Stegostoma tigrinum: one gene and its partners. The protein of the gene in region 1 interacts with the protein of each later gene in a pairwise test. Links are inferred from orthologs where the notes say so. Each region holds a gene or a part of one and is shown on either strand. Other genes may lie near its edges.

Region 1 (7,520 bases):
GACCTAGGTAAAATCTAGGGACTCAGGTTTGAATCTCACCACAGCGGATGGTGAAATTTGAATTCAATCCAATTTCTGGACCACAAAACCAATGGTATAAAAACCTGTAGGATTGACAAATATCTAGACAAGGAAAATAGCCTCTGTGTGAGTCTAGACCCATAGCAATATGGATGACTTTTAACTGCCTTCCTAAATGGCATATCAAGCCATTCAGTTGCATCAATAACAACTTCAGTTGTATAAATTGCTAGAAAGCCAAGCTAGTTGGACCACCTAGAATTTAGTACCTGAAATTACAATGGTAAATGCAGCCCTGTTGACTCTGCAATATCCTACTTACTAACACCAGGAGGTTTGTGCCAAAATCAGGAGAGGGTTTCACAGACCAATGAAACAAAAGCCTGACAAAGACATTCACAAGGAATCACACCTTACACATATTTCAGAGAACATTAGCACCCCTGGGTATAGACTGGCAAGACAGATGCATAGTGTAGTGTGATGGTAACACAATCAGCACAAAACATCCTGCTGATTACCAACTATGATCTCCCCCTGCCTCCTTCCAAGCAGATGAATCAGTACACTTTTGTGTACAACACCACTTGCAGAAAGTAATGAGGATGGTTATGGCGAAGAATGTTCTGTGGGTTTGGGACTTCAATGTCTACCAAGAATTGCTCAGCAGTATTACTACTGATGAAACTGACAAAGTCCTCAAGAACACGGCTGGATCTGCTGCAGGTGGTGAGGGAATCAAGAGGGAAAAACACCGCTAACCTCACCCTCATCAAGCTGACTGTGGCAAATACATCTGTTTATGACAGTATCGGTATGAGCGACCACGGTATGGTGGTCTTCTGTGAAGACGAAGTTCCATTTCAAATTGAATAAACCTTGCACTGTTCTGTGTAACACAATCACCACGTGAAATGGGATAGATCAGATAGATCTAGCACGTCAAGACTGGGTATTCATGAGGTGCTGTCGGGCATTCGAACTAACAGAATTGTATTCCAATCTATGGCCATAAGACCAGGAGTCTGAGAGCAGAAATAGGTTATTCAGCCATTTAATTTTGCTGCATCATTCAATGAAATCATGGCTCATCTTGTAATCCTTAACTCCATCACCTAAACTTTTCACCATAATCCAGGAATGCCTTATTAATGAAAAATCTATCCATCTCAGCCTTGAACATACTTGATGACCCAGTTCTACAGTCCTCTGCAGTAAAGAATCCTGCAGATTCATAGAGTCAAACAGCATGGAAACAAACCCAGCAGTCCAATTAGGCAATGCCAATCATATTCCAAAACTAAATTAGTCCTAGTGCCTGCATTTGGCCCACATCCATCCAAAACTTTCCAATTCATATACTGATCTCATCTCAAAGTCCCTACAGTGTGGAAACAGGTCCTTTGGCCTAACAAGTCCACACCAACCCTCAGAGCATCCGACCCAGACCTATCCTTATAACCCACCTAATCTACACATCTCTGAACACGACGGGCAATTTAGCACAGCCAATCCACCTAGCTTGCACGTCTTTTGACTGTGGGAGGAAACCAGAGCACCCGGGGGAAACCCACTCAGACACTGCTAGAATGTGCAAACTCGACACAGACAGTCACCCGAGGGTGGAAGTGAACCTAGGTCCCTGGTGCTGTGAGGCAGCAGTGCTAACAACTGAGCCATCATGCCAACCTGTAAAGAGGGTTGTGGTGGGGTCTGGAAGGTTGGTTGAGGACTTATCCAAATGTTTTTTAAACACTGTAACTGTACCTGCATTCACCATTTCCTTTAACAGTTCATTCCACACACAAACCACTGTGTGTAAAAAAAAATTGCCCCTCGCCATTCTAAAACTTTCCCCTCACACCTTAAAAATATGCCCCCTAGTTTTGAATTCACCCACCTTAGTGAAAAGACCTTTGCTATACACATTTTCTTTGAGTCTAATGATTTTATAAACCTCTACAAGGTCACCCCTCAACCTCCTATGCTCTTGTGAAAGAAGTCCCAGCATATTTCTATAACTGAAACCCCCTCATTCCAAGCAATATCTTGCTAAATATTTTCCGAACCCTCTCCAATTTGATAAAATCCTTCCTAACCAGAACTTTAAGGATAGACTGTTAACCTGCTTTTGTTTGTGATAATAGTCCTACACAATCTACTAACACTCAACTAAATCGTTCTTTAAAAAAAAACAGCTTGGCTATCAATGCTGCTGGTTTGATTTCATGGTGAGGTTTTTCTACCATCTGATACATATGAAATCTTGACCATGTAAATTATCTATGTTTCAATGCCTGTGTTTTCTGTATTCCTATATGCCCTGTCATAGGAACTCCATGTGCATTTTTTTCTTATGATATCTGGGCAGATATTTGATGAACAACCATTCAGACTTTGTCATCAAAACTTTGCTTGTAGTACATAAACAGTCTAGAACTCCGGCAGCCTCAATGTTAGCTTTCTGTGTTAACTCACTTCACTCTGGATTTGCTCTGCAAGCCTCTAATAATGAAAAAATGCCAAACACTTCTTTTGAATTATCTTAAGAACATTCTTAAGTACAGTTTCAGCTACCTTGGCATCTGCTGTGGTATTACTGTGGTCCAGCGATAGATTTTCTGTGGCTATTGCTCTGGTTGCTAATCAGTAAAGCAAAGGAACAACACCTACTCCTGCATCTCTGGTCATATAATAAGCCACTTGCTTTGGAAGAAGTATTCGTTCACAATTAAAGAAATTTTAGTTTAAAATAAACACTAAATCATGGGACACTTTTGAGTGAAAGGTGGGAGGTCTGGAGGAGACTTGGGGAAATTTTTATTTTGCGCGGAGGGCAGAGGATCTGGAGTGCGCTGCCTAGAAGGCTGGCTGAGGTGATTAAACTCCCATTCTTAAAAAAAAACTTAGATGAACACTTGAAGTGACATTGGTGGTTAAAATTGTTTCTAAGATAGTAGGGACTGCAGATGCTGGAGAATTCTGAAGAAGGGTCTAGGCCTGAAACGTCAGCCTTCCTGCTCCTCTGATGCTGCTTGGCCAGCTGTGTTCATCCAGCTCTACACCTTGTTATCTCTGATATTGGTAGTTATTTACTTCATTTGCTTTACTCGTTAAGATGCCGTCCTAAACACTGATTACAATCATGAGTATATTTTATTCTAGCCTATGAAACGGTTGGTAAATACTGACTGAATATATTTGCTTTAAACGCCTTCAACTAGTTGGACCACCTGGAATTTAGTAAGTTCAGCGATAAACAATGACTTGTTACTTCATTAAAATGTCAGGAGACAGCCATGTGTGATCTGCTCTAAAAAAAATACTAAATAGAAACCAGAAGAACTGCCGATGCTGTATGTCAGGAACAAAAACAAAGTGGTTGGAAAAGCTTAGCAGGTCTAGCAACATCTGTGAAGGAAATAAAAAAACAGAATTAGCGTTTCGGGTCCGGTGACCCTTCCTCAGAACAGAATCTACTTTTTTGATGAAGGGTCTAGGCCCGAAACGTCAGCTCTTGTGCTCCTAATGTGCTGGTTGACCTGCTGTGCTCATCCAGCTCCACACTTTTGTTATCTACATTAATCCCAGTTTACAGCACTAATGACTTCGATAAGGGACTTAAAAATTAACTCTAAAATAGGAAGGTAAAGTTTAATCTTAGACTGAGCAGGAATCACAATGTTTCTAAAGGAAAATTTAAAGGCCACCTGTTATTTATTAGCTCTGAGCTCCTCCGCGTCTGGCCAACACCGACCGTAACTATGGCAACTCGCAGCCACAACCTTCCTCGCGACAGCGGCCGTGTTCTTCACATAGATATCCAAGGAAAACCCCGGATCGCTGCCTGATTTGCATCTGACACCTTCAGCAGTAAACACAGCCGTCAGGATAGTCGTGCACACAAAATACACATTTTCCCCTAACTCCCTCCACTGCTGCGCAGACCAGATCTCGCGAAAACACTCACCTCTCTCCCGCTCCAACGGGAAGAATCCCCGTTCGCGTTCCCTAATCCGATTGGCTAATCCGATTGGTTCATTGCATGTGATTTCATTGGCTAACTCCCACCGATCCGATTTGTTTATTCATCCTCTGATGAAGGGTCCAGGCCCGAAACGTCAGCTTTTGCGCTCCTGGGATGCTGCTTGGCCTGCTGTGTTCATCCAGCTTCACACTTTATTATCTTAGATTCTCCAGCATCTGCAGTTCCCATTATCTCCGATTTGTTTATTTCCTGCTTTCTGATTGGTTTTTTCTCTGTATGTAACCTGAGTGGCTAATTTGTACTTGAGGGTGCGGTTACCTTGCGCGTCGACGTTCAGGGGGTTGGCTCTGCCCATGGGAGCGTATCATCTTGAGGGAAAGGGAGAAGCTGATAAAGGCGATTGAAATTATTGACGATGATAAAGAAGCTAAGCAGTAAGTATGTGTGTTTTGGAAACGGTTTGAATTTGTTTGTGGTAATATTGGAAAAGTTGTAGTAAACCTTTTTTTGAAAAAAAAAACGATGTTGATAATATGGAATAACTGTAATTTGCTCCCCCCCCCCGTATCGCTTTGTGGTGGGGTCTCCCCTCCCGCCGAATGTCCGGCTGTTGAACAGCTCGGCCTGTGGAGGGTGGGTTAACGGCGGTTGCGTATTAGAAAGAAGAGACCGGAGGGAGGCGTTCATTCATTTTTGAAACTGTAGATACAGTAAGGTGGAGAATTGGTATGTATTAAGCGACGATATTGGCCGAAATATTATTCTGCTAGTGGTTTGAAGTAGTAATTGAGGTACAGTCATTGATTCAATATTTCGATATTCACACAGCTTTCACTCAGGTTGTTTGATCCAGCTGAACGTTGCCAGCATTTTCTGTTACTATTTCTGAGTATGTACACTCTTACTTGCTCTCCGTTGATAACTGCAACGAACCGTTTCTCCTACTTATCATTTACAGATTTTTCAGTCTGCAGATCCGACAACTCATGTCATCTCTGCTTTGTGGCTGTGGCCTGTCTGTGAATAAGATATGCATATATTTGCTATTTTAAAAATGACATGTACTTCATAGAATATGAAAAAGTGTTTGATCATGTTTATCGCCCAAAAAAAGGTAATAGACATGTTGCTGAAATATGATCAGAGATAATGGGAACTGCAGATGCTGGAGAATCCGAGATAACAAAGTGTGGAGCTGGATGAACACAGCAGGCCAAGCAGTATCTCAGGAGCACAAAAGCTGTCGTTTTGGGCCTAGACCCTTCATCAGAGCGGGTCTGATGAAGGGTCTAGGTCTGAAATGTCAGCTTTTGTGATCCTGAAATGCTGCTTGGCCTGCTGTGTTCATCCCGCTACACGCTTTGTTATCTTGCTGAAATGTGATATTGATAATGAAGATAAGAATCCAAAGTCTGGAGAGGTTCTAAGTAGTGAACACTGGCCTACAAAGAAGCAATGAAATGCATTTTGAGTAAAAGGAAAAGTGTTGTAAACCACATTATTGTTCAATTTATTTACAGAACAAGTGTTTAGGATTAATCAGAAGCAATAACTAATCTTGTGTGCTGATGAGCACATTGCTGCTTGCAGAACTGGATGTGGGCTAACAAAATATCAAGTAAAATCTATAAATTCAGAATATTCATTGTGTGTATACCAAAAAGGCAATAGAATGATTGTTTAAAAATGAGTACATTGAAAGAAACCAGAATGAAATGAATGTTGTTACCTGAAATAATTACTTAAATTGGCTACTTAGGACAAACGAAGACAGAAGATGACAGATGCAGTGCAGAGGTTAGAAAAATGATTGAGATAGTTAGAAATGCTTGTTGTGAAGATGGAGACTGTGATGACCAGAAAACTGAAGTTTGTAACAAGGCAAAAACTGAAGATATCACATTTTGTGTTGCTTTGTATCTGAACAGGAGTTCACGTACAATAGGAATCTGTGCTTAAAAAAGGGGAAGAGCATCCAACAGAGGCTCGTTGTTCTCTTATATGTCCCTGACTTTTTTAAAACAAAGTGTGGAGCTGGATGAACACTGCAGGTCAAGCAGCATCTCAGGAGCACAAAAGCTGACGTTTCGGGCCTAGACCCTTCATCAGACCCCCTCTGATGAAGGGTCTAGGCCCAAAACGACAGCTTTTGTGCTCCTGAGATGCTGCTTGGCCTGCTGTGTTCATCCAGCTCCACACTTTGTTACCTTGGATTCTCCAGCATCTGCAGTTCCCATTATCTCAGGGACATGTAAGAGACCAACTTTCCCTTCCTACTGGTAGCATATTAAAGGAAAGTGAGCTCTTGTGGGAGTGGCCGCTTTGGAGAAGGGCTGTGAGCTTGAGTTCAACGTGTGGGCTTTTGTAATGAGGGCAAGTAACATTAAGATGCAGCAAGGTCAAGTCTTTCCTTTTTCCTTTTTAATCTAGTAATTTCCAGAGGGGTAGTAATGGAAGTTGGAGTGGTATGCACCCCCTGAGAGATCTGGGAGAGGTCATGTATCCCTGACAACTGTGTCCACCTTGCAGCTCCTCTTGAACTTTGTGGATGGGTTGGAGCAGTAGTTGGACTCATTGCGAAGTATACTGGAGGCAGAAAGTTTTATAGCTATAAGTTTTGGGATATGGCCAAAACAAAGGTTCAGTCACTGATGTGTTTGCCAGGAGGGGCAGGCAGGAATTGTACGAATCCACTGTAGCTATTCATCTGTCAAAGAAGTATATTAGTTTGGATATTAGTGGGTTGTGGGGAGGGAAGATATGGGCTCTTTCAGGATAGCAACTGCAGCAGTTAGGACAGTGGCACCATGATTGACTCTGTTGTACAACAGGGAGGATCGAAGTTTAGGTGAGTGGTTGTAATAGGAGACTCTGTAGTCTCGTTCACAGATGTTTCTCTGGCCATGAGCAAGGCTTCTGGATGATATGTTGCCTCTCTGGTGCAAGGTTTGAGAATGGCTCTAAGTGGGCACATAACATTCTGAAACGGAAGGGTGAGCAGTCAGAGATCATGGTCCATATTGGTACCAACGGCAGAAGCAGGAAGAGAGATGAGGTCCTGCAAAGAAAGTTTAAGGAATAAGATAGAAAAACGAAGAGCAGGACTTCTAGCATTGTAATCTCTGGACTACACCCTGTACCATTTGCTAGTGAGGCCAGAAGTTTTGAAAGATAATGTGGTTGAATGCGTGGCTGAGGAGCTGGTGTAGGAAGGAGGGCATCAGTGTTCTGCATCGTTGGGATCTCTTTCAGCGCAGGAGAGATGGATACAAGAAGGACCTGTTGCCCCTAAACTAGAGGGGTACCAATATTCTTGCGGGGAAGTTCGCAAGTGCCACTCGTGAGGGTTTAAGCTAGTGCTGCAAGGAATTGGGAATCAGTGCAGTGTAAGTCACTTGAATAGGAAGAGCAGGCCTGACAAGGTTATTGAACTAGATCAGAGTGGCAGCCTGAAGTGTACTTATTTCAAGGAGCATAATAGTTAAGGCAGATGAACTTGGAGAACTGGATT
Region 2 (8,375 bases), on another chromosome or scaffold:
GCCACTAGAATAAATTTTAAACATTTGAAAAAGGACAGATGAATACAAGCTAACCTATTGAACCTGCCTTATCCTGGCACAGTTCAACTTCTGCATAACATTGCACCATTCCCAGTTACATGCACCCATGCAATCTGATAGAAAGGCAAAATAGAACAAAAACCTCAGTCAAATGTGAAAGGGAGATGGCAGTATAGTGTTAATGTCCCATATTAATGTCAAAGGCATTGGTTCAAGCCCCACAGCTAGTTCACCCATATCCTTTATGAAGAGAAATCTGCTATCCTTACCTGAGATAACACGGTGTGAAGCTGGATGAACACAGCAGGCCAGGCAGCATCAGAGGAGCAGGAAAGCTTGACGTTTTGGTTCAGGACCCTTCTTCAGAAATGGGGGAGGGGAAGGGGATCTGAAATAAATAGGGAGACGGTGGAGGTGGATAGAAGATGGATAAAGGAGAAGATAGGGTGAGAGGAGACAGACGGGTCAAAGAGGCGGGGTTAGAGCGAGTGAAGGTGAATGTAGGTGGAGAGTTAGGAAGGGGATAGGTCAGTCCAGGGAGGATGGACAGGTCAGGAGAGCCGGATGAGGTTAGTGGGTAGGAGATGGGGGTGGGGCTTGAGGTGGGAGGAATAGTTAGGGAGTCTGGGACTAGCTGGGCTAGTTTTGGCATGTGGTCGGGGAAGGGGAGATTTTGAAGCTTGTGAAGTCCACATTGATACCCTTGGGCTGCAGGGTTCCCAAGCGAAATATGAGATGCTGTTCCTGCATCTTTCGGGTGGCGTCATTGTGGCAATGCAGGAGGCCCAGGATGGACATGTTGTCCGAGGAGTGGTGGGGGGAGGGGTGCGGAGGTGAAATGGTTCGCGACTGGGAGGTGTAGTTATTTGTTGCGAACTGAGCGTAGGTGTTCTGCAAAGCGGTCCCCAAGCCTCCGTTTGGTTTCCCTGATGTAGAGGAGGCCACAACTGGAACAGTGGATGCAGTATAGTACATTAACAGATGTGCAGGTGAACATCTGTTTGATGTGTAATCCTGTGTAATGATGGGGGTGAGGTATAGGGGCATTTGTAGCACTTGCTTTGGTTGCAGGGAAAAGTGCTAGGGGTAGTGGGGCTCGAGGGGAGTGTGGAGCGGACAAGGGAGTCACGGAGACAGTGGTCCCTCCGGAAAGCACATAAGGGTGGGGAGGGAAGAATGTCTTTGGTAGTGGGGTCAGATTGCAGTTGGCGGAAATATCGGAGGATGATGCGTTGGATTTGGAGGTTGGTGGGGTGGTACGTGAGAATGAGAGTGTTTCTATTTTGGTTATTATTGCGAATAGGGCGTGTGAGCAATGAGTTACGGCAAATGCAGGAGACATGGTCGAGAGCATTTTCGATCACTGTGGAGCGGAAGTTGTGGTTTTTGAAAAAAGAGGACATCTGGGATATTCGGGAGTGGAATGACTCGTCTCGGGAGCAGATGCGGCGGAGGCGAAGGAATTGGGAATACAGGATGGACTTTTTACAGGAAGGTGGGTGAGAGGAGGAATATTCTAGGTAGTTGTGGGAGTTGGTAGGCTTAAAATGGATAACAGTTTCCAGGTGGATGCCAGAGATGGAGACAGAGAGGTCCAGGAGGGAGAGAGAGGTGTCAGAGATAGTCCAGGTAAACTTAAGGTTGGGGTGGAAGGTGCTGGTGAAGTGGATGAACTGTTTGTGCTCCTCGTGGGAACACGAGGCGGTGCCAAAACAGTCGTCAATGTAACAAGGAAGAGATGGGGGATAGGGCCAGTGTAGCTTTGGAAGAGGGATTGTTCCATGTACCCTACAAAGAGGCAGGCATAGCTTGGGCCCATGCGGGTACCCATGGCCACCCCCTACCTGATATGTTTCACATAAACTCTGGACATGCTAACTTTTAACTAGCCAATAGCCTTGCAAGCTTTTCAGTTCAAGGGCACTCGGAATTATCAACAAAACAAGCTTTACTAACAAAGCCAACATCCTATGAAATGACATTTGAAAATTTCAGAGAAGCTGTGAAATTAAGAATGGTTCCAATTATCTGACAGGCTCAGAATTATGATCATTCTAACACCCGGATACTTGAAATCTCACAAAACAGCTAAAAGGATTATGGATTTAAATGCAAATAAAAGTCAAGCATGTTTAGAAATAAGAAAAAATTTGCTTTTCTAAAAAAAATTGAATATCGTTGATAAAGGGCACTAGAGAAAATTTTGGAGAGATTAGAAAAATGATTGAGTAAATCATGTGTTAATGGACTAGGAATAATTCAGTGTTAAGTTTGAAAGCTTGCAGATTTTAAAAGTGGCAGGAAAGTTTGGAGTGTTGTAGGCTTGCTGATGAGTAAAAGACCTGCTTTACTTCTGCTGTTAGCATCCTTGTGTCTCATCATGGATCTTTTACATTCAATACAGTGTTGTATGAATTCAGACTATCATTCTCCTTTATCATTGTGAATTTCTGTCTGTAATGTTCTGATGCATTGATGCCCAGGGTAAACGCATCATTCCTCTAATGTGAATGCATCTTCTGAATTATTGTTACTACCTCTCTGTTCTAAGGTGCTGCCTTCAGCATCAGTGCTGCTACAAGACACGAGTAGGAGAAGGTTGCAATCCAATGATCCATTACAGATGGAGCTGCATTGATGGGATCGTGGAGTGTCCTTCAAGTAAGCTTAACTGAATGAGATTTATGTATGTTCAGAACACTAACAAGGGGAAGTGTAGGGCCATAAATAAAGCAGATGCTAGGCACTTACAAATTCCTTAAATGAATGACACCTAACATTAGGGTTACTAGGGGAAGAGGGCAGTCTACAGCATATATTGTAGCTCCCCTGGAAGGAAAATGTCTATTCTGAGGAAAGAAAGAAAGAATTCTATTTCTTTACAATCTTCCAAAACTTCAGGAAGCCTTAAATGCTAATTTTTGAATTGTAGTCACCACTATAGTGTTGGGAAATATGGTGGCCAATTTGTGCACAGCAACCTCTTACGAACAACAATATGATAACTGACCAGATTTGCTATTAGTTGACGGATAAATGTTGGACTGTCACCAGGGAGAACACCCTGATTTCCCTCAGCATAGTACCATGAGATCTTTTACATGGGACCTTTCTCTGAGGGGGTAATGGTGCCTTGGTTGAATATCTCATCCGAATATTGGCACATTTGGTAATCCTGCACTTAAGGCAGTATAACATTTTATCAAAGCTGATAGTACTCTGACAGTGATAATGGGAACTGCAGATGCTGGAGAATCCAAGATAATAAATTGTGAGGCTGGATAAACACAGCAGGCCCAGCAGCATCACCTGCTGTGTTCATCCAGCCTCACAATTTATTATCTTGTACTCTGACAGTGCTCCCTCAGTACTAAATCTCTAGCAGTACAGTATTCTCCCATTGCGTCTCTAGCAATGCAGGGCTTCATGAGTAATGCCCTTCAGTACTGTGGCACAGGGAATGTCAGTGCGTCATTAATATTTTGGCAGAGAGTCTTTGATTCAACAGTTTATTTGAAAGGGTGGAGGAATGGGTTTCTTATTGATCATGTTTGGACCGCTATCATAGAAGTGCAAACAACATATTTGTATAGCACCATTGATTTGAAAATGACATGTCTCAATGTATCTGACAAAACTATTATTAAATAAAATGAGTCACCAAATCACACAAGGTGAAATTAGATTAGAGGAACAAAAGATTTGCTGAAGAATTTGTTTTTAAGGAGTGCCTAAAAGGAGGAGACTGAGTTAGAGTTGTGAAGAGGCAGTGGATGTGATCTTTCTTTGAAAAACAAAGGCTTGTTTAATTACAAAAAATACTGCACTGGAATCTGAAACTGTAAAGAATGAGTTTGTCTCACTTACAGTTTATTGTATTCATAACATAGTGTATGATCTTTTCTGTGTTGGAACCATGAAACTTCTCAATATGACCCTACCTATAATGCATTGCTGATCTGGGGGAAAATAGCTAATTTAGAAAATTAGCTATTTCTAGAACCTCTTTTTTTAACAAAAATATTTTTGTTGAATTCCACTCTCTGATGGCCATCTCTGAACAGTTTTTCCTTACCATTCAGGACCCAAGGCAAACTTGTGCCACATAGCCAGGTGCACATGTGACTACTATCTGGCCCTCTGTCTGCTCCCATTCCCAGTTTGGGAGAAGTACAAGAATCACCCATTGAAACATTGTTCCAAAGATATACAGTGTTTTTAACCACCTAAAGAGGAATGGAAACAAAAATAAAGACTTTCAGAATGTTAATTCTATTTCTGTGTGCAGTCTGTCATCTGCTAATCTGTCTGCGTGTTTGACATGACAATGAGGAGTTGTTAACGGATCAATTCAAAATGGAGAAGAACATAATGAATGAACAGCGTGTCTCCTACTCTGTCTAAGTCTGATGCGACCTTTTACAAACGATGTTTCTGTGTGACATGCTTCACAGTGTAAGGATCCAAGTGGGCACAGTGGTGGGGAAGTGAGCAGGTGAGATACATCAACTGGTAAAATAAATTAAGTGGTTAAAAAACGGTCAACCCATGGATGATGCACAGCCTGCCTTAGCATTGTCTTAACTCACGATCATTCAATAATATTATGAATGACTCCCTGACCTTACAATCTATTGTATAGCGCCTAGACAACTAGTCTTGCTTAGCCTCCATGATGAATATAACTTCTGAGTGTGATGAGAAATGAATAATTGGGCTTGGGAGTATTCTGCATTTTAAAAGCCTGCCGAAAATGCCTTTTTCCTCAGTCTCCAGGGTCAAGAAAGTGTCTGCCTTTGGAGAACATGAAGAATAACATGAGGTGAAACTAAAAGAGTGTCTGATGCATAGTGAGCATTTCCCTGTCACTCACGGTGAGACTCCATGAGTATTAATTATCCCTATAATACTGTACGCTGATATGCACAATGAAACTTGATACAACACCCTGATGTTGACACTAAAACCAAATACTATATGCTAATATTCCCAGTGAGATTCTGTATTAGATCACGAATATCCCATAGAAACTCAATGGATATGTCATGCATTTTGACAGTCAAAGACAGAAGTAGCCAATGTTACAAAGCATGAATTATGGCAGGACGACGTGAAGGACGCGGTTGCCGTGGTGACGGAGGTGACGCAATGACGTTGCGTATGCGTGTATTCAAAGTGGCGTACGCATGCCCGGGGACGGTTGGAAAGTTGGAAGGTGAGCCTGTGGCTGTTGCGCTTTTTGGTTGTATTCCCAGCTGCGGTGGTCCTGATTGTGAATCCTTAAGGGCTTACATTGGAGGTCTCTGACTGATGCCAGCCTGTATTCCGTTCCTCCCCAAGCAAATGGGAGTCCTAACCAGACTACTGCTGATTGCAACTTGTCTCGCCAGTGATACACTGGATTCTGACCATAGTAGGCTCTGCCCACACTGCAAAAGTGTTTTCCAGCCCAATAACTCCAGCATTGATTCCCACAAGGAACCAAGATGGGAACAGGTTTTAGTCCCAGCAATCAAACAGGGTTAGAAGAGTGGGTTGTTGAACTGTGTTGGCCAAGGCTCCTTATAAGGGTCAAATGACCCTTTAGCCTACCCATCGGTTCTACCTTAACCACTATGCTTACCACTGCAAAAACGCTCGTTAGAATTAATGGGAAGAATTAAACTGCTTCTGATGAGATGCTAATGAGTAGATATGCAGGACCATGCTAAATAGCTGCATTCCTCTTGTCATTTAGCCCCACAAATGTTGAAAATCCAATTTCTTGGTGACATAAATTGTACTTGTTGTGTGCACTTGTGACATTTTGTGTTATGTGCATGGGAGTGGTCTGGTTGCCTGATGTTGCATGAGTGATGGAGATGAAAGTTTAGCCTGTTGCCTTGTGTGACCCCATGCATTGTGTTGCATTTTCAACTAGTTGGTGGATGAAAGATCCTTGTGGACAACCACTGGTGTGGGGGCCATCCTTTGACAACCACTGTCCTGTAAGGGTTTTCTGAGAAGGAATGATATGATCAAATCACAGTAAACTTCAGTGTGGTGCAGATTATCTAGGCCTTTGGATTAGGCAAAGTCACTTTAGCAGGTAAAGAGTGGTATGTTGTTTAAAGTAGATTGGGAAATTACATAAATATATTAACACATAAGTAATGACAAATGTGTAAGAATTATTTTCTCCCAATGAATGTACAGTTCTTCAAGGAATAAAACACCACTGGAAAACACTCCCATTTATGGCACAATAATAAAGTTAATATAGTGCTGTCTTAGATTCAAAGAAGCAGCTTGCAATGTTACCAAAAAGGATGGTGTGAGCCAGAGGATTTTAAAAATCAGGAAAACCTGACCAAAAATGTGGTAGAGGATGAAAATAGAATGGGAGAAAGCCATCAAGGAAACAGCTTGTAAAAGCTTTTCTAAGAATGCTAGAAGAGATCAGTGGAAGTAAAATTGATGTAATTGAGGCAAAGACGGGAGAAATTACAATGAAAGTAACAATATGTTAAAGAAATATTTTCTGTACCTGACTTCATAATGGATGCCATAAGAGGAATAATCAAAATATTTGGAAACCTAAGGTTTAATTAGTGTAAAGAACTAAATTAGTTTAAAATAGTAAAGACATCATAGGGTTTAAAAAGAGGAGCTGCAAAATTATTAGAAGTGTTGGTTTTGATTTTCCAATATTATTAGATTTTAGCACTGGCCCTGTGGACTGGGGAGTAGCAAATATGACTCTGCTATTCAGGAAGGGAATGAGAGAGAAAACTTAAAATTAAAAGCAAATTAGGTGCGTTAGCTGTCTCTACAGATTATTCCACTGATGCTCTAGATCCAGAGACAAATCAAAAAAGGCAACTAACTCAAAGATTAAGAGTTAAGGAGAATCAAAGGATTTGAGTGTGATGTTCATGTGCACAGATCAAAACTAGTCAACAGGTTTTACAAGTAATCCAACAAGATTAATGAAATCTTTATCTAAAGTTAGCATAGTGAGGAACAGATCCTTTAGTTGTAAAGAGCTCACTCAAAGTATTGTATTCAGTTTTGGGCCCTGTGCCGCAGGTGAGATTTAAGCTATAAGACATGTCGAATTACCTAGAATTTACAGTGAAGTTTTTTTTTCAGGTTCACATTGACATTTCTACTCCACATGCCCTTCCTCCCACCTGTCACCCTAGCAGTGTGACTTCCTGTTCCTTTCTCCGTCATACATGCATCTGTCTTTCTCTGAAATATATCTATCCTATTCACCTTAATCATTTCATGCAATCTCAAATTTCACTTTTCTGAGCATAAATGTTTTTCTTGAATCTTTAATTGAATTTATATTAATAACAAGATGGTAGGTCCAATAACATTGCTACAGGGAATATATTATGTCTGCTGGGGAACCAAAAAGGGACGATCTTAAAATTATAGCATTTAGACAGGAAATCAGGATATATGGTTTTGTATGAAGCGTTGAATAAATCTTCAATTCTTTCTTCTAAAAGGTAACACTGGAGATCAATCAAGATTTTCAACACAGAAATTGGAATTTTCTTTTGTAAGCCAGGGTTTTTGAGTGCCAGGAAACAAACAGGAAAATGAATTGAGTCACAGATCAGACATGATCTAATTAAATGGTAGAACAGGCTTGAGGGACTAACTGGCTGCCTCCTATTCCTATGTTCCTCCTTTTTCACTTAAACTATTTAGACATAGCTGTTTCTGTATTGTTAGGTAACCAAGATGTCCGAGGGTCCCTCCAAGATATCTGGTCCCATTCCACCAGACCCAACACTATTCCCAGATTTCTACAAGCGTCCGCTGTCAGGTGAGGCTTTACCTGTTTTCCAGTGAAGTGCTTCCATCTTCCTTTTACGTTGTTGGTTGAATTTCCTATTCTCATCTGGGATGAAACAAAGTTGAAAGAAGTGTTTCTGCATGCAATGATCCTTGCGCTTTTGCTCATTCTGTGCACTGGAAATCTATGCGTGGATTAAGGAAGTCTGAAAGAACAAAATGAAGAAAAATGTCTTTACCTTGTTACTTCACAAGCAGAATTGTTGTGCAGACGCAGTATACTCCTAGAAACTTGGGAAAATAACAAGTTGGAATCTAACTGAAAGTTTCAAGGCTTGTTATATTTACAATAATTGGACATCCTATTAATACTAGGATGAAATTCAGTCGAGAATAGGCGCAAGTAATGGGTGACTGCAGATTCATATTCAGTAATTATTAGCCCAATATTGAATATTTCACAGTACCTCATTAATAGCAGATATGATATTTATTTGATTCTGATTTGTGCCTTTGTTTTGAGTTATTCCTAAAATTGATTTCACAGCTTGACTGGGAAAAGG
Region 3 (7,229 bases), on another chromosome or scaffold:
CAGTAACAGTAGAGAATAAAATACCAACAATATGGTGACATTGGGAAAATCTGTCATACTGTATGTATACGGGCTTATCAAATGTTTTGTGCAAATGGAAACAGTTTTAGAAGCATCATTTCTGATACAGTTGTTATTAAAAGAGATTTGCACAAATAATTGATCACAGAAACACAAACGGATTACAGCAGGGGGCCATTCAGCCCACTGTGTCTGAGCTGGCTCTTCAAATGAGCAATGCATCCAGTGCCACTGCTACACTTTCTTCTCATAGTCTTGCACTTTCTTCCTTTTTAGGTGATGACCCAATTCCTTCTCAAATGCTGCAATTGAACTTGCATCCACCATATTCTCTGGCAGGGCATTCCATATTCTAACAACTCGCAGTTTGACAACGTTTCTCCCCCTGTCACGTGTGCTTGATTTGTTCATTATTTCAAATCTGCTCTCTCTCATTCTTGACTCTTCCACCAGCAGAAACAGTTTACTCACTATCGATTTGATCCAGACGACTCATGATTTTGAATACCTATAACAAATCGCCTGTCAACATTCTCCAAGTAAAACAAGCTCAACATTTCCAATCTATCTACTAAAATGAAATTCTGCATTCATGAAACCAAGCGGAGGTGTTCTGCAAAGCGGTCCCCAAGCCTCTCTTTGGCTTCCCCAATGTAGAGGAAGCCACAACGGGTACAGCGGATGCAGTATACCACATTGGCAGGTGTGCTTGATGTGGAAAGTCATCTTGGGGCCTGCGATGTGGGTGAGGGAGGAGGTGTGGGGGCAAGTGTAGCACTTCCTGTGGTTGCAGGGGTAAGTGCCAGGTGTGGTTGGGTTGGAGGGGAGTGTGGAGTGAACAAGGGAGTCACAGAGAGAGTGGTCTTTCCGGAAAGCAGACAAGGGTGGGGATGGAAAAATGTCTTTGGTGGTGGGGTCGGATTGTAGATGGCGGAAGTGTCAGAGGATGATGCATTGTATCCGGAGGTTGGTGGTATGTGAGGACGAGGGGGATTCTATTTTGGTGGTTATTGCAGGGGCGGGTGGGCGGGATGAGTTGTGGAAATGCGGGAGACATGGTCAAGGGTGTTCTCAACCACTGTGGGGGGGATGTTTCAGTCCTTGAAAAACGAGGACATCTGAGATGTACAGGAGTGGAATGCCTCACCCTGGGAGCAGATGCGGTGGAGGTGAAGGAATTGGGAATAGGAGATGGAATTTTTGCAGGAAGTTGGGTGGGAGGAGGTGTATTCTAGGTAGCTGTGGGAGTCGGTGGGCTTGAAATGGATATCTGTTTCTAGGTGGTTGCCTGAGATGGAGACAGAGAGGTCCAGGAAGATGAGGGATGTGTTGGAGATGGCCCAGGTGAACTTGAGGTTGGGATGGAAGGTGTAGGTGAAGTGGATGAAATGTTCAAGCTCCTCTTGGGAGCATGAGGCAGCGCCAAAGCAGTCATCGATATAACAGAGGAAGACTTGGGGCTTAGGGCCAGTGTAGGTGCAGAAGAGGGACTGTTTCACGTAACCTACAAAGAGACAGGCATAGCTTGGGCCCGTGTGGGTACTCATGGCCACCCGCTTTGTCTGTAGGAAGTTGGAGGAATCGAAAGAGAAGTTGTTGAGGGTGAGGACAAGTTTGGCTAGGCGGATTAGAGTGTCGGTGGAGGGGATCTGGTCGGGCCTGCCGGACAGGAAGAAGTGGAGGGCCTTTAGGCCATCTGCAAGGGGAATGCAGGTGTATAGGGACTGGATGTCCATGGTAAAAATGAGGTGTTGGGGACTGGGGAATTGGAAGTTCTGGAGGAGCTGGAGGGCTTGGGTGGCTTCTGTTCATATTCACTTTGTGCACTCTCCCCAAACACAGATCATCCCATTGTTTCTGTGCTATCTCAGCAGCTCTGACAGTATCTGTGGAAAGAAATTTCATATCCAGTAACACTTCATCAGATCTGCTGAGTTTCTCCAGCAATTTCTGATTTTGTTTGTTTCAGATCTCCAGCATGTGCTTTGTATTATTCTCTCCCACTTCTGCTCACTTTAATTCAATGTGTATGCAGGGGAATGCTAAGCAACAGGTATCCATTTTAATGTCTAGGGTTTTACAGCAGAGTTGGCATAGTTTCATTGCAGAAATGACCATATCCTACGATGTAACATTCTCTGAGGCAATATTTGGTTTAGGGTTTTATATGGGCCAGGGAATGCAGAATTTCTGCATACTTCTACAGGGCCAGTGGGTTTTGGTGAATAGTGAATCCCAGGGTCTGGCCATAACAAAAAGAGGTGTTGCTGTGGTGTAGCAAGTTGTGGACACTGCCAACCTCCCAGGTCCTGTAAGCTTCTGATGTTCTGACAGCAGCACTGGTGTGAAGGTTTGGCGGAGTCAGTGGTGAGCTAGAGAGATGAAGTATCCATTTCCTTTCATGTCGGGAATTCTGGAGGTGTGTATATTCCTCACAGCAGCGGCACAATAGAAAGCTATATATTTGCAAGGCCAGATTTGCAGTTTAAGAGAATGACAGACGATCAGCTAATAGGCATCTCAGCTGCCCAGCAATAACCCTGTCTCCAATTCCTGAACTCTGCTGGAAAACACAACTAATTCAATCCCAACCTTCATATCGGCATTGTTAACTTTTCAGTGATACTCTCAGATATGGGTGGCACTTTTATCTCACAGAGCCAGGGAGGTTCAATTCCAGCCTCAGGTAACTGTCCATGTGGATTTTGCATTTACTCCCTGTTTCTGCAGAATGTGCCTGTTTCCGCCCTCAGTCCAAAGATGTGCAGGTTAGATTGACTGGTCATACTGAACTGCCCTGGAATGTGCAAGCTAAGTGTGGAAAGCAAGGGTATATGCAGGGCTACAGGAATAGGGTAGGGGCTTGGGTCTGGGCTGGATTCTTTTCAGAGAGTCGGTGCAGCAAAGATGGGCCGAATGGCTTCTTCCCGCATGGTACAGAATCGAGCTTTTTACCACAGCACACATCCTCGGGCCCTGTAAGATTTCATTTAATAGTTCCCATTTGTGTCGCCTTTCTATGACTCTAAGGTCGGTCGTGGTGGAGGGAAGATTTAACTGTACAAATGCCCTGCTTACCTGTTTTCAGTGAAGAATTAAGAGCGTGTAACGGAAAACAATGTGCAAATCCCCCCTTCCCCAACCCAAGGATAACAAACATCTTAGAGACACTCGGTTCGAAGCGTGGGACGACCAGTTAAACGATCGCTTGGAAAGGATTCTCCCTATTTCTTCCAAGTTATTAACAACCTGCGTTCAAATCGTATCAATATTCATGTTTAAAGCTCGGTGTTTTGCAATAACTTGCGAAGATAAATCTGGGTCTATAAAATATGGAGCTGGAGGTGCAGAGCAAGTCAGATAACGGGACCAGGAAAGCTGATGTTTCGGGTCTTTCTGAAGAAGGGTCTAGGCCCGAAACATCAGCTTTCCTGCTCCTCTGATGCTGCTTGACCTGCTGCGTTGATCCAGCTCTACACCTTGTTATCTCAGATTCTCCAGCATCGGCAGTTCCTACTAACTCTGGAGAAACTCAGCAGGTTTGGCAGCATCTGGGAAGTTAGAAAACAGAGTTAACGTTTCGAGTCCAGTGATCCCTCTTCAGAAATTGTCACTGGAACCGTTTTGCCTTTCTGTACGATTTGTTTCACTGGTTTTAAATGAGTGCAGCAGTGTTTTACTTTCTAATATTAAGAACTGTGGCAGCAGCCCATGTTTCGTGGTCTCACCAGAAGGCGCTGGGACGACGAGAATGAAAGGGTAATTTCCATCAGCTCCCGGGAAGAAATGGACACATTGCTGTTACTTGATCGGATCCTTTTTCCTGTTGGGAAACAAAGGCTTGGGAACAAAGTAGCCGGAGCCCGAGCAATCCCCTCCCAGTGACATAACCGACGGCCAATCAGCGCGGGCCTCAGTACGTCATCTTGTCAGTTTCACCAATCGGATCGCGGGAATTTCACTCCGCTACAAAGTTGCGCCAAATTCAAAAACAAGAAAGGGACAGACATTCAGGCGTTCGATCCCAACCACGGAGGTCGTAATGACAAGCTGGAGAAAGCACCATCAGATCCTGCAGGAAGAAGGCGATAGCCCGCCAGCCGATCTTTTCAGGGAGATGTCCTCGTCCAGCTCCCTCAACACTATCCGCATGTCCCTGAGGAAGAGGCTGCCTCTTGGGCAGGTGGACTTTAACATCGACCACACCCCGACTTGGGAGAGTCTGGAGCTCACCAAGAAACCTAATGCTTTACAAACTATAGGTCGGACTGCGAGGAACACATGGGGCAACGTCTCCCTGGTAACTTGTTTTTACTTACACTTGACACCATGGAGTGTAGCAGTGCCATTATTCCATTTAAAACGTCAAGGTTTCAAAAACTGACATTGCTTAAGAAAAATATGGACTCCAGTTTTATTTTAGTAGAAAAGTGTAAAAGTAATTTGGAAGCCAGCAGCATTGACTATTCAGACTATTCAGCTGGCAGACATTTCCCAGATAACGTACTGTGTGCCTGACCGCGGTGGACTGTAATATAACTTGTACGATAAATATACATGACTGGTTCCACTGACATGGGCTGATGTGGCAATTGGCTGCGTTCCTTACATTGCAGACAGTGTCACGTTAATTTTTGCTTACTTCTCCATAATGTCCTGATCAAAAGCTTATCTCCAAACCAACATCGCTTAAACAAATGATATGGTTTATACTTCAGAGATAATGGGAACTGCAGATGCTGGAGAGTTCCAAAATAACAAAATGTGAGGCTAGATGAACACAGCAGGCCAAGCAGCATCTCAGGAGCACAAAAGCTGACGTTTTGGGCCTAGACCCTTCATCAGAGAGGGGGATGGGGAGAGGGAACTGGAATAAATAGGGAGAGAGGGGGAGGCGGACCGAAGATGGAGAGTAAAGAAGATAGGTGGAGAGAGTATAGGTGGGGAGGTAGGGAGGGGATAGGTCAGTCCAGGGAAGACGGACAGGTCAAGGAGGTGGGATGAAGTTAGTAGGTAGCTGGGGGTGCGAGGAAGGGATGGGTGAGAGGAAGAACAGGTTAGGGAGGCAGAGACAGGTTGGACTGGTTTTGGGATGCAGTGGGTGGGGGGGAAGAGCTGGGCTGGTTGTGTGGTGCAGTGGGGGGAGGGGACGAACTGAGCTGGTTTAGGGATGCAGTAGGGGAAGGGGAGATTTTGAAACTGGTGAAGTCCACATTGATACCATATGGCTGCAGGGTTCCCAGGCGGAATATGAGTTGCTGTTCCTGCAACCTTCGGGTGGCATCCAATTCTTCCAATTCCCTGGCCCCCAACACCTCATATTCACCATGGACGTCCAGTCCCTGTACACCTGCATTCCGCATGGAGATGGCCTCAAGGCCCTTCGCTTCTTCCTGTCCCGCAGGCCCGACTAGTCCCCCTCCACCGACACTCTCATCCGCCTAGCTGAACTCGTCCTCAGACTCAACAACTTCTCTTTTGACTCCTCCCACTTCCTACAGACTAAGGGGGTGGCCATGGGCACCCGCATGGGCCCCAGCTATGCCTGCCTCTTTGTAGGTTACGTGGAACAGTCCCTCTTCCGCACCTACACAGGCCCTAAACCCCACCTCTTCCTCCGGCACATTGATGACTGTATCGGCACCGCCTCTTGCTCCCCAGAGGAGCTCGAACAGTTCATCCACTTCACCAACACCTTCCACCCCAACCTTCAGTTCACCTGGGCCATCTCCAGCACATCCCTCACCTTCCTAGAACTCTCAGTCTCCATCTCAGGCAACCAGCTTGTAACTGATGTCCATTTCAAGCCCACCGACTCCCACAGCTACCTAGAATACACCTCCTCCCACCCACCCTCCTGCAAAAATTCCATCCCCATTCCCAATTCCTCCACCTCCGCCGCATCTGCTCCCACGATAAGACATTCCACTCCCGCACATCCCAGATGTCCAAGTTCTTTAAGGACCGCAACTTGCCCCCCACAGTGATCGAGAACGCCCTTGACCGCATCTCCCGTATTTCCCGCAACACATCCCTCACACCCCGCCCCCGCCACAACCGCCCTAAGAGGATCCCCCTCGTTCTCACACACCACCCCACCAACCTCCGGATACAACGCATCATCCTCCGACACTTCCACCATCTACAATCTGACCCCACCACCCAAGACATTTTTCCATCCCCTCCCCTGTCTGCTTTCCGGAGAGACCACTCTCTCCGTGACTCCCTTGTTCGCTCCACACTGCCCTCCAACCCCACCACACCCGGCACCTTCCCCTGCAACCGCAGGAAATGCTACACTTGTCCCCACACCTCCTCCCTCACCCCTATCCCAGCCCCAAGATGACATTCCACATTAAGCAGAGGTTCACCTGCACATCTGCCAATGTGGTATACTGCATCCACTGTACCCGGTGCGGCTTCCTCTACATTGGGGAATCCAAGCGGAGGCTTGGGGACCGCTTTGCAGAACACCTCCGCTCAGTTCGCAACAAACAACTGCACCTCCCAGTCGCAAACCATTTCCACTCCCCCTCCCATTCTCTAGATGACATGTCCATCATGGGCCTCCTGCACTGCCACAATGATGTCACCCGAAGGTTGCAGGAACAGCAACTCATATTCCGCCTGGGAACCCTGCAGCCATATGGTATCAATGTGGACTTCACCAGTTTCAAAATCTCCCCTTCCCCTACTGCATCCCTAAACCAGCCCAGTTCGTCCCCTCCCCCCACTGCACCACACAACCAGCCCAGCTCTTCCCCCCCACCCACTGCATCCCAAAACCAGTCCAACCTGTCTCTGCCTCCCTAACCGGTTCTTCCTCTCACCCATCCCTTCCTCCCACCCCAAGCCGCACCCCCAGCTACCTACTAACCTCATCCCACCTCCTTGACCTGTCCGTCTTCCCTGGACTGACCTATCCCCTCCCTACCTCTCCACCTATCTTCTTTACTCTCCATCTTCGGTCCGCCTCCCCCTCTCTCCCTATTTATTTCAGAACCCTCACCCCATCCCCCTCTCTGATGAAGGGTCTAGGCCCGAAACGTCAGCTTTTGTGCTCCTGAGATGCTGCTTGGCCTGCTGTGTTCATCCAGCCTCACATTTTGTTATATGGTTTATACTTCATTGCTGTTTGTGAGATCCCTATAATCTTTGGGTCACCCTAAACTCTACAGCTCCCTGTCTTAACTAAGATCAAGTCCTGT
Region 4 (7,791 bases), on another chromosome or scaffold:
ATAATGGTATGTAAGAGATAAACCAGGAAACTACAGGCGAGTCAGACTAACCTCAGTGATGGAGGAAACTATTGAAAGCAATTCGGAGGGACAGAATTAATCTGTACTTGGACGGATGAAGGTTAATCAAGAACCGTCAGTATGGTTTTGTCAAGGAGATGCCATTTGTGACCAATATGATTGAAAAATTCAGAGGTGACCAGCTGTGTAGAAGAGGGCAATGCATTCTAATGCAGCCAATTTGGAATGGCAAGGCTTTTGACAAAGTTGCAAATGAGAGACCGATCGTGAAGGTAAGAACCCATGGCATCCAAAGAAATTTGGCAAGTTGGTTTCAGGATTGGTTTAGTGATAGGAAGGAGAGGGTGGTGGTTGAGGGCTGTGTTTGAGACTGGAAGTCTGTTTCCAGTGGGGTGAATGGGCTAACCTTAGGTTATAGGAGGATATAGACAGGCTGATTGGTGGCAAATGTAATCCAATCTGGATAAGTTTGAAGTGATGCACCTGGACATGATGAATGGTAGTACCCTGGGAAGTACCAAGGATCGGGGCACCCTGCAGAGCATGTACAGTGGTAGCAGGACAAGTAGCTAGAGTGGTTGAGAAGGCAGATGGGATTATGCCATTATTAGAATTTTTTGATGTGTACTCAAGTAAAACATACAGTGAAAAGTGTACAAAGTCACCCTTCTCCAGTGGCATCTTGGTTACAAAACCAGAATTTAAAAAGAAAACATTGGCAGAAATAAAAGAATGTTAAAAATTTAAATCTTATCTCCATACAAGTGTTTGGATCCACTTGGACCCACCTGGGCCTAGCTACTGCCTGGAATTTTGGTCAGCTTGTGAACCTTGCATCATTCACCAGAAGGAGTCATGTCTTTGCAGCTCCTCCCAGTGATCAGAGGAAGCAATCACTACCTCCTGCTGCCAACTCAGACCACCAGGAGGCTGCTGCAATTCTGCGTGAGTCCTGCTGCCATGCCAGTATTGCCAATTAAACTGCAGCAGAAGCCTCAACAAGAGAATGCACAAATAATTGTCACAATCCCGTCACTCGTGTAGCCTACTGTCTATATCTGGAACAACTTTGTGCATTCTGGAATATTAGCATACTCCAAACCTCAGAAAAGTAAGGGTTTTGTAACTCCCTGTTTGATCGTGATGAGATCCCATGGGCTGGATAGGTCAAAGTGTGACCCAAAGGAACAAGTGTAAGCATCACCCTGTACGTCACAGAGAGATCCGACATCAGACAAGGCATGAACGTTAAGAGGGGGGAGGTTAGCTGAAACTATATAAAGCATAAAGCCATAGCTAGAGTATTGTGTGCAGTTCTAGAGTACACATTATGAGGGATATGATTGTATTGTAGAGTGTGCAGGGGAGGTTTAACAAAACGTTGCCTAGGAGGAAAAGTCTGAGTAATGAGGACAGGCTGGGTTTATTTTCCTTGGAGCAGAGGAGGCTGAGGGCATTGCGGTTCTGATTCAGATATGCAAAATATAAAACACACAGTAGATAGGTTTTTCTAAGGATGGCAAATTCCCTAGTGTCTTTTGTCAGTTAGCTACTGGCAACTAGGGTGTGATCATAATAGTTGCAAACCCAGTCACAACATGACACAAAGGTGGCAGTTACCAATTAGCTGTTGGTCGTGTGTTTTTAGGTATGCCTGAACAGCTCTCTGTTGGACAGTCTCTGCACACCATAACAGGGGAAGAAACTCGAAATAATGCTGTAAATCCTCATTCCAAACCTGGCAGGAAAATTTTATTCAACAGGTGTACAGAATGTTGGAAAGCCTTTCTCTCCACATCTCTGTACAGATGCTGCTGGTCCTGATGAGTTTATGCAGTAATATTTTGTTTCAGGGTTTTTCTTAGAGTCTACTTGTCAGGGGCTCTGTACGGTCCTGATGTGCACCTCCTAGCTATGCTTCAGAAGCAACTACCTGCCAATTTTTAAGAGATAATGGGAACTGCAGATGCTGGAGATTCCAAGATAATCAAGTGTGAAGCTGGATGAACACAGCAAACCAAGCAGCATCTCAGGAGCATAAAAGCTGACATTTTGGGCCTAGACCCTTCGTCGGAGAGGGTTTTGGAATAAATAGGGAGAGAGGGGGAGGTGGACCAAAGATGGAGAGAAAAGAAAATAGGTGGAGAGGAGAGTATAGGTGGGGAGGTAGGGAGGGGATAGGTCAGTCCAGGGAAGACGGACAGGTCAAGGAGGTGGGATGCGGTTAGTAGGTAGGAAATGGAGGTGCGGCTCGAGGTGGGAGGAAGGGATGGGTGAGAAGAAGAACTTCCAATTCCCTGGCCCCCAACACCTCATTTTCACCATGGACATCCAGTCCCTATACACCTGCATTCCTCATGCAGATGGCCTCAAGGCCCTCCGCTTCTTCCTGTCCCACAGGCCCGACCAGTCCCCTCCACCGACACCCTCATCCGCCTAGCCGAACTCGTCCTCACCCTCAACAACTTCTCTTTCGATTCCTCCCACTTCCTACAAAGGGGGTGGCCATTGGTACCTGCATGGGCCCAAGCTATGTCTGCCTCTTTGTAGGTTACGTGGAACAGTCCCTCTTCCGCACCTACACAGGCCCCAAACCCCACCTCTTTCCTCTGTTACATTGATGACTGTATCGGCGCCGCCTCTTGTTCCCCAGAGGAACTCGAACAGTTCATCCACTTCACCAACACCTTCCACCCCAACCTCAAGTTCAACTGGGCCATCTCCAACACATCCCTCACCTTCCTGGACCCCTCAGTCTCCATCTCAGGTAACCAGCTAGAAACTGATGTCCATTTCAAGCCCACTGACTCCCACAGCTACCTAGAATACACCTCCTCCCACCCACCTTCCTCCAAAAATTCCATCCCCTATTCCCAATTCCTCCGCATCTGCTCCCAGGATGAGACATGCCACTCCCGCACATCCCAGATGTACAAGTTCTTCAAGGACCGCAACTTTCCCCCCATAGTGATCGAGAATGCCCTTGACGGCGTCTCCCGCAACACATCCCTCACACCCCGCCCCCGCCACAACCACCCCAAGAGGATCCCCCTCGTTCTCACACACCACCCCACCAACCTCCGGATACAACGCATCATCCTCCGACACTTCTGCCATCTACAATCCAACCCCACCACCCAAGACATTTTTCCACCCCCACCCTTGTCTGCTTTCCGGAGAGAACACTCTCTCTCTGACTCCCTTGTTTGCTCCACACTCCCCTCCAACCCCACCAAACCCGGCACCTTCCCCTGCAACCGCAGGAAGTGCTACACTTGCCCCCTCACCCCCTCCCTCACCCCCATCCGAGGCCCCAAGATAACTTTCCACATTCAGCAGAGGTTCACCTGCACATCTGCCAATGTGGTATACTGCATCCACTGTACCCGGTGCGGCTTCCTCTACATTGGGGAAACCAAGCGGAGGCTTGGGGACCGCTTTGCAGAACACCTCCGCTCAGTTCGCAATAAACAACTGCCCCTCCCAGTCGCGAACCATTTTAACTCCCCCTCCCATTCTTTCGACGACATGTCCATCATGGGCCTCCTGCAGTGCCACAAGGATGCCACCCGAAGGTTGCAGGAACAGCAACTCATATTCCGCTTGGGAAGCCTGCAGCCCAATGGTATCAATGTGGACTTCACCAGCTTCAAAATCTCCCCTTCCCCAACTGCATCCCAAAACTAGCCCAGTTTGTCCCCTCCCCCCACTGCATCACACAACCAGCCCAGCTCATCCCCTTCCTCCACTGCATCCCAGAACCAGCCCAGCCTGTCTCTGCCTCCCTAACCTGTTCTTCCTCTCACCCATCCCTTCCTCCGACCTCAAGCCGCACCTCCATCTCCTACCTACTAACCTCATCCCACCTCCTTGACCTGTCTGTCTTCCCTGGACTGACCTATCCCCTCCCCACCTACACTCTCCTTTCCACCTATCTTCTTTTCTCTCCATCTTCAGTCCGCCTCTCCTTCTCTCCCTATTTATTCCAGAACCCTCTCCCCATCCCCCTCTCTGATGAAGGGTCTAGGCCCGAAACGTCAGCTTTTGTGCTCCTGAGATGCTGCTTGGCCTGCTGTGTTCATCCAGCTCCACACTTTGTTATCTGCCAATTTTTAAGTTTTGCTTATTATTCCTCAGTTGACACTAAACTGTAGATTTTAAAATCTGACAAAATTTGACTTTTCTTTTGCACTAGCATATATTTTGATACTAGAAATGAACGTTTATATCCAATTAAAACCGAAAGAACTGAGGATGCTGTAAATCAGAAACAAAAACATAAGTTGCTGGAAAAGGTCAGCAGGTCTGGCAATATTTGTGAAGGAAAAAAAATCAGTGTTAACGTTTCGGGTTCAGTGGCCTTTCCTCAGAACGCTCTGACTATTTTTCACAGATGCTGCCAGACCTGCTGAGCTTTTCCAATAACTTCTGTTTTTGTTTATATCTAATTCTCGTATAAACAACTGAAAAGGAGAAGAAAGCAACAATTCTTCCAAGTGTGCGCGCGCAGCTTCCGGGACACCGGCGAATCTTCACGACGGCTGTCGTAAAAGTTCTTGTTGCTAAGGTAAAGGCAAGATGGCGGAATACGGAGGCAGGTTTGAAAGTGCGAAAGCAATCGAGGAACGAAGAGAATTTAAACGAAAAGCGAGAGAGGAAATTGTGACCAAGGTATTGTCTCAGTTCTGTCTATTTGTTTGCATCAGCCGTGACCAGGACGCAGACGATCTAACACTTTTAACCGAGCCCCCTCCCCATCACCCATAGTAAACACAGCGAGAGGCCAAATAGCTTACGGCGTTGTTGACAGCCCGAGGAATGTCAACTTCGCAAGGGTTGGGTGAATTCACTTATAAAGTTAACCTTTACTGTTTGTATTTAATTAGTTTATTCGTGTCAATTAAAAAGTGCTGGGGTGTCCTTATTTTTAGTTTATAGATATGGCTTGGATGAAGGGATTGAAGATATAGCTGCTAAATTTAAAAATAATTAGTAATGCAAGTTGTAAAGTGCTCGTAAGGAGGCTGCCAAATGTTGTAGACTCCAATGAATGGGCAAGGATCTGGCAAACGGAGTATAACGTGCGGAAATACAAAATTGTCGATTTTGGCAGGAAGAATAAAAAAGCATATTGTCTAAGCAGTAAGAGATTGCTGAACTCTTAGGTTTGGAGGGATCTAAGCGTCCAAGTGCATGAGTTGCAAAATATTATTGAGCGGGTGCAACAACTAAGTAGGATAACAAGAAAATGTTATTATTTATTGTTAGGGGAATTGAATATAAACGTTGGTAGATTATACTTCAGTTATGTGGAGCATTGGTGAGTATACATTTGGAGTCCTTTGTACAGTATTAGTTTCCTTTTTAAGGAAGGAGGTAAAAGCACCCTTGCTAAACTCATATCTGGAATGGACAAATTGTCTTCTGAGGAAATATTGGGACAGGCTAGGCTTGATTTTGCAGGAGTTAGAAGAGTAAGATGCACTTGGTTGAAATATTCAGGATCCTGAGGGTCTTGACAGATTGCAGGTGAAAAGGTTGTTTCTTCTTTGTAAGCAAAGTGACTCATAGATCTAACTATCTTAAAAATAAGGGGTCACCTATTTTGGGCAGATAAGATTTTTTTGCGGGTTATGAGTTTTTGGATCCCAAAATGTTGTGGAAGCAGAGCCCTTGAATATTTTTAAGGTAAAGGTAGACAAGTTCTTGGTGAACAAGTGGGTGAAAGGCTGTTGTGTGTAGACAGGAATGTGGAGTGATCCAATCTGCCATGATTTTATTGAATGGAATCTAGGATTGAGGGGCTTAAAGGCTTACTGTTGCCTCAGTTCATATGTTTACATATCCCTCACAGCCCTTGACTCCCTTGTCTATCAAGAATCTGTCTAACTCTACCTTGAACATAGTGACCCCACTGCTCTGTGGAAGGGAATTTCAAAGATTAAGAATCCTCAGAGAAGATTTGCTGCTCATCTCTGTCACAAATGGATGACATCTAATTTTGAACGTACTTGTTTGAATTCTAAATTCTCATGTGAGCGCAAAAGAAAATCCTCTTAACATCTGCCCTGTTAAGCTCCCTCAGAATCATTGTGCTTTTCTGAACTGCTTGTAATGCAGGTATATCTTACCTTGTGTAAGGGAACAAAACTATAGAGTATTTCAGGTGTGAACTTCTCAGTGCCCTAATTCTAACCTTCATTCCCTTTCCAACAAAGGCCCACCCTCTACACGCCATCCTATGTACTTGATGATTTGGAGGCGAGGTGGTGAATGGCCTGCTCCTAATTTTGCATGTTCTCATGTGCATATCTTCAGCAGGAAAAATATTATAGGAGGAAAGGAAAACTGAAGTAAAATCTAAATATTTTGTACTTTGGCCCTTTTTAAGTAAAGCTGTTTTCTGTGCATTCCTCGCATTCGCGATGAAATAAATTGTTATGTGAGTTGGTGAAGCATAGTGGCAAGATATTGCAGCACTTGATCAAGATTTCAGCCTTGTTAATTCATCTGAATTCAAGTCAGAAGTTAAAATTGGTAGCTTTTTGTAAAAAAAATTAGTATTTTACAACAATATACACGTATTCGTAGAAACAGGAAATGGTTATAGCACCAAAGGAGACCATTTGCCTTCCTAAGTCTGCACAGGAAAGATCACCTAGCTCAATTCCCTTGCTCTTTTTTCTTTAACACTGCAAATCATTTATTGTCAGTTGTTTATCTAGTTTCATTTTGAAAGGCCTAATCTGTTTGGCTGCACAACACACTAAGGCAGTTCATTTTAGATCCTAATATTCGCCTTTATGTAAGAAAACTATATGCTCCAGGAGATGGTGCCAGTTAATCAAAAATGCCTGTAAAGGAGGTGTTATATTTATAGATAGAACACCATGCAATTTGACAAGTGGAAGCTTTTAATGGTGTGCTCATGAGAGTTTAGAGGAACTCTGTTCCTATTAGAGTGGAGGGCAAAGCTGATAAGAGTAGGGGTCAATGGATGAATAAAGATATTGAGGTTCTGGTTAAGAATAAGAGTCGTACATTAGATATGGGCAGCTGGGATCTAATGAATGCCTTGAAGAGTATAAAGAGTGTAGAGTCATTCTTGAGAGGGAAATCAGGAGGGCAAAAAGAGAAGGGGCCATGGGAACTGCAGATGCTGGGGAATCTGAGATAACAAGGAGTAGAGCTGGATGAATACAGCAGGCCAAGCAGCATCAGAGGTGCAGGAAGGCTGAAGAAGGGTATAGGCCCAAAATGTCAGCCTTGCTGCTTCTCTGATGCTGCTTGGTCTGCTGTGTTCATCCAGCTCTACACCTTGTTATCTCGGGCAAAAAGATCATATGTGATAGCCTAGGCAGATAAGTTTAAGGATAATCTGAAGAGAGTCTGCAAGTATGTTAACAGCAAAAGCTAGGGAGTGAATCAAGCCCCATAATGATCAATAAAGCTATCTATATGTTGAACCTCAGGAGATGGAAGAGATACTGAATGAAGATTTCGCAATAGTTCTTACTATTGAGAAAGGAATGGAGGCTAGAGAATTTGGGAAATAAATAGTGATGTTTTGAAAAAAATTCACATTACAGAAGAGGAAGTGCTGGGGCCTTAGAAAATACAAATGTGGATAAATCTCCAGGACCTAATCATCTGTATCCCAGCATCTTGTGGGACGTTAGGGAAGAAATTGCAGGATCCCTAGCGGAGATATTTGTTTCATCTATAACTATGGATGCGGTGCCAGAGGCCAGGAGGGAGGCTAATGTTGTG

What was found.
Region 2: the proteins of cep70 (region 1) and enkd1 interact in binary tests that used the Homo sapiens proteins (3 or more experiments, as listed by UniProt). The link is inferred for Stegostoma tigrinum from reciprocal best matches to the Homo sapiens genes CEP70 and ENKD1.
Region 3: the proteins of cep70 (region 1) and protein PIMREG-like interact in binary tests that used the Homo sapiens proteins (3 or more experiments, as listed by UniProt). The two-hybrid records come from large-scale screens. The link is inferred for Stegostoma tigrinum from reciprocal best matches to the Homo sapiens genes CEP70 and PIMREG.
Region 4: the proteins of cep70 (region 1) and cwf19l2 interact in binary tests that used the Homo sapiens proteins (3 or more experiments, as listed by UniProt). The link is inferred for Stegostoma tigrinum from reciprocal best matches to the Homo sapiens genes CEP70 and CWF19L2.

The regions. Positions count from the first base shown.
Region 1 is NC_081360.1:66,673,218-66,680,737, forward strand, and holds the start of cep70 (centrosomal protein of 70 kDa), read left to right. Parts: upstream 1-4,098; 5' UTR 4,099-4,443; intron 4,444-4,609; exon of another isoform or gene 4,610-4,735; intron 4,736-7,520.
Region 2 is NC_081393.1:16,154,803-16,163,177, forward strand, and holds the start of enkd1 (enkurin domain-containing protein 1), read left to right. Parts: upstream 1-5,188; 5' UTR 5,189-5,236; intron 5,237-7,749; 5' UTR 7,750-7,758; coding exon 7,759-7,843; intron 7,844-8,375. UniProt on the Homo sapiens protein: Microtubule-binding protein which regulates microtubule organization and stability. Promotes the stability of astral microtubules and facilitates the proper orientation of the mitotic spindle.
Region 3 is NC_081380.1:25,349,470-25,356,698, reverse strand, and holds the start of protein PIMREG-like, read left to right. Parts: upstream 1-4,003; 5' UTR 4,004-4,063; coding exon 4,064-4,321; intron 4,322-7,229. UniProt on the Homo sapiens protein: During mitosis, may play a role in the control of metaphase-to-anaphase transition.
Region 4 is NC_081359.1:69,860,719-69,868,509, reverse strand, and holds the start of cwf19l2 (CWF19-like protein 2), read left to right. Parts: upstream 1-4,593; 5' UTR 4,594-4,599; coding exon 4,600-4,692; intron 4,693-7,791.